Struthio camelus: one gene and its partner. The main gene of each other region encodes a partner of the protein of the gene in region 2 in a complex. Links are inferred from orthologs where the notes say so. Each region holds a gene or a part of one and is shown on either strand. Other genes may lie near its edges.

Region 1 (5,874 bases), on a different chromosome or scaffold from region 2:
TCTCCCTGCCTTAACCGGCGCAGGGGAGAGGAGCCGGGCTGGGCTCCCCGTTTGCCCTCGCGCCTGCAGGCTGCTCGCAGCTGCTTTCCAACCATCTCCCACGGCATCGGACCTGCCTGACCACCTGAGCCGAGCAAGGAAACAGGGCTCCTTCATTAACCGGTGCCGTTGCTTTAGCCTGAATGAGCCCTTGAGGGCTTGGGGAGGGGACGGGGTGAGCGGGAGTCTGCTGTGTGGCCTTAGGTGTTGCACAGGTGCACAACACCTACGGGGCAGCGACTGTAGCCTGTCCCCACTGCACAAGCATGAAGCACCCCCACAACTGCACCCCTCAATGTGCCCATATCACTGCTGCCCCGTTCCACCGTGAGCTTGGGGGTGCCCAAGGACCCGGCCACCTCCAGCAGCAGCAGCATCCCTCCGTGGTGCTGGGCTGTGCTGACCCCCCCTTTGCTCTCTCTTCCCTCCAGCCTGTATAACACAGTCGTGCCTTCTTGTGGGCCCTTTGCGAGGCTGAGCCCCCCGCCGGAGCCGTCGCACCACCAGCTGCAGCCAGGCCCCTCGCTGGGACTCGTCCTGCTGCTGCAGGCGCGGGGCATCTCCGCCTCGGTGCCGGGCAGCTGGAGCCAAGGGGTCACATCCCCGTCGGCCCTGGCGCAGCCCCCCCAGGACCACGCGCCGGGCTCCCCGCAGCAGGACCGGCCCCCACTGCGGAGCAGCATCTTCAGCTTGAACTTGGTGGAGAAGCTGCGGCGCCTGGGGCTGGACAAAGTGGTGGCCAGAGGGGAGATGTCCTACGTGCACGGGAGGCCCGGGGACGGTCTGACGTGACAGCAAGCTCGGGATGGGATGTGGCCTGCGCCCCCGCTCCCTCCTCTTCACCTCCATCCAGCTGGGAACGGGCCGGGGCCGGTGCACCAGCCTCTGCTCCCGCAGCCGCTCGGGGCTGCGAGGACGCGGCTGGCCACGGATGCTCCTCACAGCCCAGCGCCTGCGCTTTTTCTCAGGGAAAGCAGCCCGGCTTGTGCCCCGTAGCAGCGGGGGCTGCTGCGGGCTGGTTGCGGGAGCCTGCCGCTAGCAATAAGGACTGTTCCCGGTGCTGTGGGGGGCAGCGGCCCCCGCTCCGCAGCCAGACTCGGGGGGGGGGGGGTGAGACGGCCTTCCACCACGGCTGGGACCTAGAGCAGCACCAGGACTGTATCTTAAAGAAAGTTTTTGAGCTTTTTACAACTTTTTCTGCCAGTAAGCAGAAGCAGGACGGAAAGCCTCCCCTGCTTGGGCCCGCACTCCTCTCCCCTTGGCTGCCGCCCGCCCGCGGGTTTGCCGCTGCCGGCGCAGCCCTCGCCCCAGGCTCAGCCCTGGCCAATAAAGGTGACGCCGCCGTGAAGCAGCTCCCGTGTGCCGTGTTTGCAGCCGCTCGGCCTTTCCTGTCGGGTCCCTGCCTGCTGCTTCCCGGTGGGGCTGGGGGGGTGAATCCTGCCAGGTCCCTGCTTGGTGCTTCCCGGCGGGGCTCGGGGGGGTGAATCCTGCCAGGTCCCTGCTTGGTGCTTCCCGGCAGGGCTCAGGGGGGTGAATCCTGCCAGTCCCGGCCGGCTCTGCTCTCTGGGGTGGGCTGGGATTTCCCAGCAGGATGGGTGGCCCCGCGCTGGGGCTGGGCGTACTCAGCCCTGGCCCTGCTGCTCCCCCCGTCCTGCCTGTGGACCTGGGGCAGGCTGGGCACGCAATCTCCCCCAGCTTTTCCTGGGAAAAAGCCTATATAGATATATATAGCAAGCAGCGGGGCTGTAGTGCCAAAGCTTTATTGCAGGGCGAAGCATGCAGCGAGCGTGCTCGTGCTCTGCGGGCCAGCCCAGCGGCTAGGAGCCGCTGGCCGAGTCTTCGGCGCTGCGGCGGCCAAAGTCCATCCAGTCGGGGTAGTAGTAGTAGTGGTCGTGCAGGGCCTCGGCGCCCGCGTCGCCGTGCAGGTAGCCTGGCTGGCTGCTCAGCTCTGCGGGGACAAGGGGGGGACAGCTCAGCGCCGCCCGGGGCCCCGCCGGGGCGGCAGGGCGGGCGGGCCGGCCGGTACCTGCCAGGAGCTGCGGCAGCAGCAGCGAGACGAGGTGCTGCTGCTCGGGCGGCGGCGCGGGGCGGTCGCGGTCGTGGTGCAGCGGCGCAGCCCGGGGCCAGCGGGGCGCCTCGGCCGCGGGCCGGGCCAGGCAGGCGGCGGCGGCGGCCAGCACGAGGCCGATGCTCACCCTCCTCTTCATGGCTGCGGGGCACCGGCCGTCAGCCCGGCGAGCGGGACCCCGCATCCCACCGGCGCCCGCCCGCTGCCCCCGGTCCCGGTCCCGGTCCTGCCCCCGGTCCCGGTCCCGGTCCCATTCCTGCCCCCGGTCCCGGTCCCGGTCCTGCCCCCGGTCCCGGTCCTGCCCCCGGTCCCGGTCCCGGTCCCATTCCTGCCCCCGGTCCCGGTCCCGGTCCTGCCCCCGGTCCCGGTCCTGTCCCCGGTCCCGGTCCCGTTCCCGTTCCTGCCCCCGGTCCCGGTCCTGCCCCCGGTCCCGGTCCCGGTCCCGGTCCTGCCCCCGGTCCCGGTCCCGGTCCTGTCCCCGGTCCCGGTCCTGCCCCCGGTCCCGGTCCTGCCCCCGGTCCCGGTCCCGGTCCTGCCCCCGGTCCCGGTCCTGCCCCCGGTCCCGGTCCCCGCTCACCTGCGGCGTCCGCGGGCGGCCCCGCCGCCGGCCCCGGCCCCGCTTTAAAGGTGCCGCCGCCGCCCGCCCCGCTCCGCCCCCCGGTGCCGGGGGGAAGGGGGGGGGGGGCTGCAGCCCCACGCACCCGCCTGCACACGTATGTGTCTCCAGCGCGGGGGACACGGTGGCACATCGCTGTAGGCGCAGGGACACGCGCGAGCATGTATAGAAACGTGCAGGTGTGCGCGCACGGAGGCCCACGCATGTGTGTGCACAGGCACATATGTGTGTATGTACACACACACAGACGTGCACTCATAGCCACAGGGACTAGCACACACGTGTATATGCACATACACGTGTATGCACACGGACACATACACCTGCATATTATACATGGCCATGCACATGTACATACAAAGCACACACATGTATGACTATGCACACAGACACACACACACACACACACAGACAGACAAGCACACATGTATATACAGACACACATTTATGTATATGCAGACACATACACATCTGTATGTGCACACACACACACACACACATATCTATATGCACACACGCAGAGTCACATGTGCCTATAGACAAACAGAAACATACCTCTGTGTGTGTGTGTGTGTATAGTGACACACGCATGCACGCACGCACACAAACACACTCACATCTGTATATGCAAACTCATATAGTTGCAGACACATATGCATGCACATATATTCAGAGACACAGACACACGCTTATAGCCAGATACACAGAGCTGTGGGTATAAAGCTACACACACACACACATGCACACACATGCGCACGCACACACGCGCGCGCGCGCGTGCACACACACACGAGTGCTGTGTATATGCCATTCTATAAGCATATACAGATAGCTATATAATAAAAACGCACACACAGCTGTGCGTATAAAGATATATTCACGTACATGCATTCACGTAGGTATATAGTAAACAGACACACAGCTGTGGGGGGGAGAGAGATCTACACATAGAGCTAGCTGCATCTATAGGTATATAGAATACAACTATACCTACACAGAAACGTAGAGTGCAGTGGCTATGGGGGGGGGGGGCGCGCTCATATGTGTGTGTGTGTGTGTGTGCGTGTGTGTCTGTGTGTGTCTGTGTGTGTGTGTGTGTGTCTGTGTGTCTGTGTGTGTCTGTGTGTGTCTGTGTGTGTGTGTCTGTGTGTGTGTCTGTGCACCCGCACATATATAGACAGCTATAGCTAAAGGTGTATAGCACACACAACCCCCACACACTTGGGGGGGGGGGGAGAGACACACACACACACACACACACACAGAGCTATATCTATAGGTATATATACAGATATATGCACACAGAGTGCTGTGTGTATGATGTCCTATATGCATATATAGATAGCGCTGTATTATAAAGACATACAGCTGTGTGTATAAAGATATATTCACATATATAGCTAGCTTTTGGTATATACCACACAGACACACACACACAGAGCTGTGGAGGGAGAGAGCTACACATAGTGCAATAGCTATATCTATAGGTAATAGTATACAGATATACATACACACAGAGCTGTTGGCATGAAGTTTTTTTTTTTTTTTAATATTTTATAGCTCTCTCTCGCTACACACACACACACACACACACACACACACACACACACACACACACACACACACACACACACACACACACACACACACACACAGCTGTATGGGGAAAGCTCTACACACATAGAGCTGGCTATATTTATAGGTATACAGATATACTTACAGACAGAGCTGTAGGTATAAAGAGTTTATATAGAGCTAGATAGCTCTATATAGCCAGATAGATATGCACTTATTTAGATAGCTATATAGTATGACCCCCCCCAGCTGTATGTATAAAGATGCATTCACATATATAGCTAGCTATAGGTTTATACTACACAGAGGCTGTGTGTTTATTGCTATACCCACACATGGACAATTTTATCTCTAGGTATATAGTACACAGCTATACATACATAGAAGCACAGAGTGCTATGGTATACAGCTATAGGTGCATGTATAGATAGCTATAGCTAAAGGTGTATGGTGCACATGCACACAGGGCCGGGGGGGGGGGGGGGCTGTACAGGCAACTCGTGTGTGTGTGTGTGTGTGTGTGTGTGTGTGTGTGTGTGTGTGTGTGTGTGTGTGTGTGTGTGTGTGTGTGTGTGTGTGTCTAGATGTGCCTCTGTCTGTAGTGCTATAACCATGTATTTTCTACATTTATGCATGCATATGTGTGTGTCAGTGTACACATGATGCGCTCTGTGTGGGGGATATACTGAAGGATTATTAAAAAAGTGCCTATGTACACAAACAGATATAGGTACATGCATGCTAAGGTTTTTTTTTTTTTTTTTAATATTATCTCTATATGTAATCTACATACATATATGTGTGTGTGTGTGTGTGTGTATACACACGTGTATAAATACATATGGCCCTATACACATGTGTATGCAAGGGCATGTGCATGTATATGCACACATAGATGTTGGTGTCTGTGCATTCCGCCCCCCCACCCCCGGGGCAACTAATGTCAGTGACCCATCCCCTGAGTGAGACCTGCCCCCCCCCCCAACCCCGGCCAAGCCCCATCTGCCAGCACCGATATGGCCCTTCCAGCATTGACACGTCCTCGTGCCCATATTTACCCTCATCCCGGTGTATTTGCAGAGCCCGTTTGGCTCCCTCTTTCAGCGTGATAAGGGCCGGTGCTCGGCTGCGGCGCCCGGTGTGCTCGCCGTGGCTGCCCACAGCCCCCCTCTGCGCGGGCCAATATGCCCGCTCTTTAAATAAACCCAAAATAAATGGGCTTTCAATGGGCAGGAAGGGCGCAGTGCGCCGCAGCAATCGATTGCTCGCGCTGGAGAGCGCTCTGCAGGGAACAAACAAATTGTTTTGCAATTTCTCGCTTTTAATGCTTCACTCTTGCCCAAACGAGCCTCCAGGGCGATGGGTGCGCGGCCGTCGCTTCCTTCGGCACCGCTGCTCGGCAGCCCCTTGACGCAGGTTTGCAGCATGGCCCACGAGCGCCTGGGCCAGATCCTTCCTCCCAGCCCACCCGCAAGGCCATGGGTGCTGCCGCGCCTAACTGCCCCTTGGCAGGACAAACACAAGGAGGCAAAAAAGGGTCATGGCACTAAGTGGCTTTTCAGCAACCTGTGCTGGC
Region 2 (6,680 bases):
GGGGAGCCCCTGAGCCACAGAACCTCGGTGCCCCCGAGCTGTGGAGCCCCCAAGCGATGGAGCTGTGGAGCCGTGGAGCCCCTGAGCTACAGGGTCACAGAGCGCCCAAGCTGCGGAGTCCCTGAGCCACAGAGCTCCCAGGCTGTGGAGCTGCGGAGCCCCTGAACTGCGGAGCTCCCAGATGTGGAGCCCCCAAGCTGTGGAGCTCTGAGCAGTGGAGCCCTGGAGCCCCTGAGCTGCGAAGCTTCCAGCTGTGGAGCCCCCGAGCTGTGGAGCTCTGAGCAGTGGAGCCCTGGAGCCATGGAGCCCGTGAGCCGCAAAGCTTCCAGCTGTGGAGCCCCCGAGCTGCAGAGCTCTGAGCTGTGGAGCCCCCAAGCTGCAGAGCTCCGAGCAGTGAAGCTGTGGAGCCCCCAAGCCGCAGAGCTCCGAGCAGTGGAACCGTGGAGCCATGGAGCTGCAGAGCTCCGAGCAGTGGAGCTGTGGAGCCCCCAAGCCGCAGAGCTCTGAGCAGTGGAGCCCTGGAGCCCCCAAGCCGCAGAGCTCCAAGCAGTGGAGCTGTGGAGCCCCCAAGCCGCAGAGCTCCGAGCAGTGGAGCTGTGGAGCCCCCAAGCCGCAGAGCTCCGAGCAGTGGAGCTGTGGAGCCCCCAAGCCGCGGAGCTCCGAGCAGTGGAGCTGTGGAGCCCCCAAGCCGCGGAGCTCCGAGCAGTGGAGCTGTGGAGCCCCCAAGCCGCGGAGCTCCGAGCAGTGGAGCTGTGGAGCCCCCAAGCCGCGGAGCTCCGAGCAGTGGAGCTGTGGAGCCCCCAAGCCGCGGAGCTCCGAGCAGTGGAGCTGTGGAGCCCCCAAGCCGCGGAGCTCCGAGCAGTGGAGCTGTGGAGCCCCCAAGCCGCGGAGCTCCGAGCAGTGGAACCATGGAGCCATGGAGCTGCGGAGCTCCGAGCCGTGGAGCCCCCAAGCCGCAGAGCTCCGAGCTGTGGAGCCGCAGAGCCCCGAGGCGTGGAGCTGTGGAGCCGCAGAGCCGGGTGGTGCCGTGCGGGGTAGGGGGTCCTGCTGTCCTGCAGTCTGGTGCCGCTTGGGCACGCAGCCCCCCCGGGCCAGTGACTGGGACCTGGGACTGTGCTGTGGGCACCAGCTGGTGTGACAAACCAGACCCAGATGCAGCAGGGATGGGGCACTGTGGGATGCTCCGGGCTGCGTGGAGGCAGGAGCATGGGGTGCACCGTGTGCACGGTGGGATGAACGGAGCTGCTTTGGGGAGGCAGACAGGACACAGGGGGGCGCACTGGGGTGCACCGGGCGGGTGGACACGGTGCACAGCAGAGTGCACAGGAGGTGTATGGTGGGGTGAACCAGGCAGGTGGGCAGCACATTGGGAGGTGTGGGGTGCACGGGGGGTGCTCCAGGCAGGTGGATGGGACGCACGGCAGAGTGCGCAGTGGAGCGTGTGGCACGGTGTGCAGGAGGGGGCACCATGCAGGTGGACGGAGCACAGACTGGGGTGCACAGGGGGGTGCATGAGGCAAGCAGACGGGGCGCACGGAGGGTGCACCGGGCAGGCAATGGGGCGCACAGGGGGGTGCACCGGGCAGGCAGTGGAGCGCACGGGGGGTGCACCGGGCAGGCGGACGGGGTGCACGGAAGGGTGCACCAGGCAGGCGGACGGGGCGCACGGGGGGTACACTGGGCAGGCGGAGGGGGAGCACGGAAGGGTGCACCGGGCAGGCGGACGGGGCGCACGGGGGGTGCACCGGGCAGGCGGACGGGGCGCACGGAAGGGTGCACCAGGCAGGCGGACGGGGTGCATGGGGGGTGCACCGGGCAGGCGGACGGGGCGCACGGGGGGGTGCACCGGGCAGGCGGACGGGGCGCACGGGGGGTGCACTGGGCAGGCAGTGGGGCGCACGGGGGGTGCACCGGGCAGGCGGACGGGGCGCACGGGGGGTGCACCGGGCAGGCAGTGGGACGCACGGGGGGTGCACCGGGCAGGCGGACGGGGCGCACGGAAGGGTGCACCAGGCAGGCGGACGGGGTGCATGGGGGGTGCACCGGGCAGGCGGACAGGGCGCACGGGGGGTGCACCGGGCAGGCAGTGGGGCGCACGGGGGGTGCACCGGGCAGGCGGACGGGGCGCACAGGGGGGTGCACCGGGCAGGCAGTGGGGCGCACGGGGGGTGCACCGGGCAGGCAGTGGGGCACACGGGGGGTGCACCGGGCAGGCGGACGGGGCGCACGGGGGGTGCACCGGGCAGGCAGTGGGGCACACGGGGGGTGCACCGGGCAGGCGGACGGGGCGCACGGAGGGTGCACCGGGCAGGCGGACGGGGTGCATGGGGGGTGCACCAGGCAGGCGGTGGGGCGCACGGAGGGTGCACCAGGCAGGCGGACGGGGCGCACGGGGGGTGCACCGGGCAGGCAGTGGGGTGCACGGGGGGTGCACCGGGCAGGCGGACGGGGCGCACGGGGGGTGCACTGGGCAGGCGGATGGGGCGCACGGAAGGGTGCACTGGGCAGGCGGACGGGGCACACGGGGGGTGCACCGGGCAGGCAGTGGGACGCACGTGGGGTGCACTGGGCAGGCGGACGGGGCGCACGGGGGGTGCACTGGGCAGGCAGATGGGGCGCACGGAGGGTGCACCGGGCAGGCAGTGGGGCGCACGGGGGGTGCACCGGGCAGGCGGACAGGGTGCACGGAAGGGTGCACCAGGCAGGCGGACGGGGCGCATGGAGGGTGCACCGGGCAGGCAGTGGAGCGCACGGGGGGTGCACCGGGCAGGCGGACGGGGCGCACGGGGGGTGCACTGGGCAGGCGGACGGGGCGCACGGAGGGTGCACTGGGCAGGCGGATGGGGCGCACGGAAGGGTGCACCGGGCAGGCAGACGGGGTGCACGGAGGGTGCACCGGGCAGGCAGTGGGGCGCACGGGGGGTGCACCGGGCAGGCAGACGGGGCACACGGACAGGGCACACGGAGGGTGCACCGGGCAGGCAGTGGGGCGCACAGGGGGGTGCACCGGGCAGGCGGACGGGGCGCACGGGGGGTGCACCGGGCAGGCAGTGGAGCGCACAGAGGGTGCACCGGGCAGGCGGACGGGGCGCACGGAGGGTGCACCGGGCAGGCGGTGGGGCGCACGGAGGGTGCACCGGGCAGGCGGACGGGGCGCACGGGGGGTGCACCGGGCAGGCAGTGGGGCGCACGGGGGGTGCACCGGGCAGGCGGACGGGGCGCACGGAGGGTGCACCGGGCAGGCAGTGGGGCGCACGGGGGGTGCACCGGGCAGGCGGTGGGGCGCACGGAGGGTGCACCGGGCAGGCGGACGGGGCGCACCGGGAGGCTCGGGCGCAGCGCCGGGAGCCGTGTCCAGCCGGGGGCTGTCCGGTCCCGTCCGGTCCCGTCCGGTCCGGTCCTGTCCGGTCCCGTCCCGTCCCGTCCCGTCCCGTCCCGTCCCGTCCCGCCCCGTCCCGGCTCACCTTTGGGCGCGGGGGGCCCGCGGAGGCCCCTGCGGAGGAGGTCGCAGGCGGAGCCGTTCCAGGCGTTGCCGGCGCCGGTGGCGTTGCCGGTGGCGTTGCCGGGGCCGGGGCCGGGGCCGGGGCGGCAGAGCAGCTCCTGCAGCGAGTCGTTGAGGCGCCGCGGGTCCATGGCGCCGCCTCAGGGCCGCCCCGCGCCCATCGCGCTGCCGCGGGCGGCGGCACCGGCACCGGCACCGGCTGCGGCAGCGGCTGCGGCAGCGGCGGCAGCGGCGGCAGCGGGGACGCGCGGCCCCGCTCGCTCCGGAGCCGCCGAGCGAGTGAGCGGGGGCGGCGCCAGCGGCGGCCGGGGCGGGGGAGCGGGCGGGCAGCGGGAGCGGGCGGGGGCGGCGGGGGAGGCCCGGGGGACCGAGGGGTGGAGGGGCCGCGCGGGATGGGGCAGCGGGGGCGCAGGGGGCGTTTGGGGGGACGGGGGGCGGTGGGATGCTGCAGGGGCATCGGGGGTGGAGGGGGCGTTTGGGGGGACGGGGGGCGGTGGGATGCTGCAGGGGCAGCGGGGGTGCAGGGGGCGTTTGGGGGGACGGGGGGCAGTAGGACGATGCAGGGGCAGTGTTGGTGGAGGGTGTATTTGGGGGAAGGGGGGACGGTGGGATGCTGCAGGGGCATCGGGGGTGCAGGGGACGTTTGGGGTGAAGGAGGGGACGGTGGGATGCTGCAGGGGCATCGGGGGTGGAGGGGGCATTTGGGGGGACGGGGGGCAGTAGGACGATGCAGGGCAGTGTGGGTGGAGGGTGTATTTGGGGGAAGGGGGGACGGTGGGATGCTGCAGGGGCATCGGGGGTGGAGGGGGCATTTGGGGGGACGGAGGGGCGGTGGGATGCTGCAGAGGCAGAGGGGGTGCAGGGGCATTTGGGGGGGGCGGTAAGGGGGTAAGGGGGGACTTGCGGGGATGCAGGGGGCGGAGGGGACAATGCCGATGCAGAGCGCGGGGGGGCTCGGGGGTGCAGCGCGGCGCGGAGCAGGCACCCGGCGGCGCAGGGTCCCGGCGCTGCCGGGTCCGGGGAGCAGATGCAGCGGCGACCGGCACCGGCACCGGCACCGGCACCGGGCCGGGGCGGCTGCGGGAGGCGGCGCGGGAGCCTCCCGGACCCGGCTGGGCAGCGCCGCCCGCGCCCCCCGCGGTGCCCCCGGCCCCCCGCGGTCCCTCCGCGCCCCCCGCGGTGCCCCCTTGCCCCCTTGCCCCCCCTTTCCCCCCGCGGTGCCCCCGGCCCCCCCGCCGCCCCCGCGCCCCCCTTGCCCCCCCCAGCGGTGCACCCGGCCCCCCGCGGTCCCTCCGCGCCCCCCGCGGTGCCCCCGGCCCCCTGCCGCCCCCGCCCCCCGCGGTGCCGCCGCCCCCCCCGCGGCAGCGGCTGCGGCCGCTCCCAGCCGCGAGGCCACGGACACGCGCGTTCGTGGGCTGGAGCCCCGGCGGTGCCGCGCGTGTCCCGCCCGCCCGCCGGCCGTGGGGCGGGCGGTGCCGGGGCCGGGGCCGAGCAGCCCCGGCGCGACCGGCTCTCCCGGCCCGGCGGCCCGCAGCAGCCCGAGGGCGGTTGCTCGGTCCGGAGCCGGGCTCGGCCCGCTGGAGCCCCGCTCGCCCTCCCGGTGCCCCGGGTGAGCCCCCCCGATAGCCCTGCCCGGTCCCCACCCCTGCCCCATCCCTGCCCCTTCCCCTATCCCTGCCCCGTCTATCCCTGTCCCCCTCCCTGCCCCAATCCCTATCTTTTAGCCCTGCCTCTAGCCCTGTTCCTGTCCCTACCCTGCCCCATCTCTGTTCCTATCCCTGTCCCTGTCCCTCTCCCTGTCCCTTCCCCATCCCTGCCCCATCCTTGTCCTTGTCCCTGCCCTGCTCCGTCCCTCTCCCTGCCCCATTTCTGCCCCAATCCCCATCCTTTAGCCCTGCCTCCAGCCCCTGCCCTTGTCCGTGTCCTTATCCCTGCCCTTACGCCAGCCCCAAGCCCTGCCCCATCCTTATCCTTGTCCCTATTCCTGCCCCTGCCTTTGTCCTGCCTTTCCCTCACCCTGCCCCTATCCCTAACCCTGTCCCTGCCCCTCTCCCTGCCCCATCCCTCTCCTATCCCTGTTCCTGTCCCTGCTCCTATCCCTGCCCCATCCCTATCCCCATCCCTGCTCCTATCCCTGCCCCTGCCCTGTCCCTGCCCCTGCCCCTATCCCTGTCCCTGTCCCTGTCCTTGTCCCTGCCCCTGCTCCTTCCCCTGTCCCTGCCCGGCCCGTGGACCTGTTCCTGCAGCTATTGTTGTTCTCCGGTAGCAACTGTCTTTATTGTTCCCCAGCAAGTTCTAACAGTTACGCAGCAACTATTGTTACTGTTAGTTACCAGCTGTTGTCATTGTTACCTAGCACCTATTGTCAATGTTACATAGAACTTGGTCACTGTTACTTGGCAGTTGTTGTCATTGTTACTTAGCAACTGCTGTCATTGCTACCTAGCAACTACTGTCAATGTTACCTAGCAACCATGGTCACCGGTTCCTCACACTGCACCCGGACGAGGAGTTGCTGCCGGTTAACCCTCAGCGCCGGGTGGCTGTGCCCCGCATGCCCTGCACCCCCGCGGAGCCCCGTCCCCCAGCAAGACCCCGTCCCCCGGCATCGCCCCGTCCCCCGGCATCGCCCCGTCCCCCAGCAGGACCCCGTCCCCCAGCAGGACCCCGTCCACCAGCAGGACCCCGTCTCCCAGCAGGACCCCGTCCACCAGCAGGACCCCGTCCCCCGGCATCGCCCCGTCCCCCAGCATCACCCTGTCTCCCGGCAGGACCCTGTTCCCCGGCAGGACCCCGTCCACCAGCAGGACCCCATCCCCCAGCATCACCCTGTCCCCCAGCAAGACCCCATCCCCCGGCAGGACCCTGTCCCCCGGCAGGACCCCGTCCCCCAGCAGGACCCCGTTTCCCAGCATCATCCTGTCCCCCAGCAGGACCCCGTCCCCTGGCAGGACCCCGTCCGCCGGCATCACCCTGTACCCCAGCATCGCCCTGTCCCGCGGCATCACCCTGTCCCCCAGCAGGACCCCGCAGCGTGGCAGGCACCTGCGCCCTGGTGGGACCTGGTGCCCCACTGGGACCTGGTGCCCTGGTGGGACCCTGTCCCCCAGCAGGACCCCGCGGCGTGGCAGGGCCCTGCACCCTGGTGGGACCTGGTGCCCCACTGGGACCTGGTGCC

The links.
Region 1: the proteins of CCKBR (region 2) and gastrin/cholecystokinin-like peptide are in contact, whole or in part, in a cryo-EM structure (PDB 7XOW), measured with the Homo sapiens proteins. The link is inferred for Struthio camelus from reciprocal best matches to the Homo sapiens genes CCKBR and GAST. Residues at the interface, in NP_795344.1 of Homo sapiens: Cys107, Pro114, Asn115, Gly118, Thr119, Phe120, Met134, Gly135, Val138, Tyr189, Gln204, Cys205, His207, Leu222, Val349, Tyr350, Ala352, Asn353, Arg356, Pro361, Ala363, His364, Leu367, Ser368, Ile372, His376, Tyr380; in NP_000796.1 of Homo sapiens: Glu85, Ala86, Tyr87, Gly88, Trp89, Met90, Asp91, Phe92.

The regions. Positions count from the first base shown.
Region 1 is NC_090966.1:7,282,071-7,287,944, reverse strand, and holds gastrin/cholecystokinin-like peptide, read right to left. Parts: upstream 2,701-5,874; 5' UTR 2,685-2,700; intron 2,249-2,684; 5' UTR 2,247-2,248; coding exon 2,066-2,246; intron 1,988-2,065; coding exon 1,857-1,987; 3' UTR 1,785-1,856; downstream 1-1,784. Other genes in the region: HAP1 (huntingtin-associated protein 1), read left to right, coding at 471-831. UniProt on the Homo sapiens protein: Gastrin stimulates the stomach mucosa to produce and secrete hydrochloric acid and the pancreas to secrete its digestive enzymes. It also stimulates smooth muscle contraction and increases blood circulation and water secretion in the stomach and intestine.
Region 2 is NC_090942.1:225,048,297-225,054,976, reverse strand, and holds the start of CCKBR (gastrin/cholecystokinin type B receptor), read right to left. Parts: upstream 3,670-6,680; 5' UTR 3,634-3,669; coding exon 3,465-3,633; intron 1-3,464. Other genes in the region: CNGA4 (cyclic nucleotide-gated channel alpha-4), read right to left, coding at 5,964-6,017, 6,482-6,680. UniProt on the Homo sapiens protein: Receptor for gastrin and cholecystokinin. The CCK-B receptors occur throughout the central nervous system where they modulate anxiety, analgesia, arousal, and neuroleptic activity.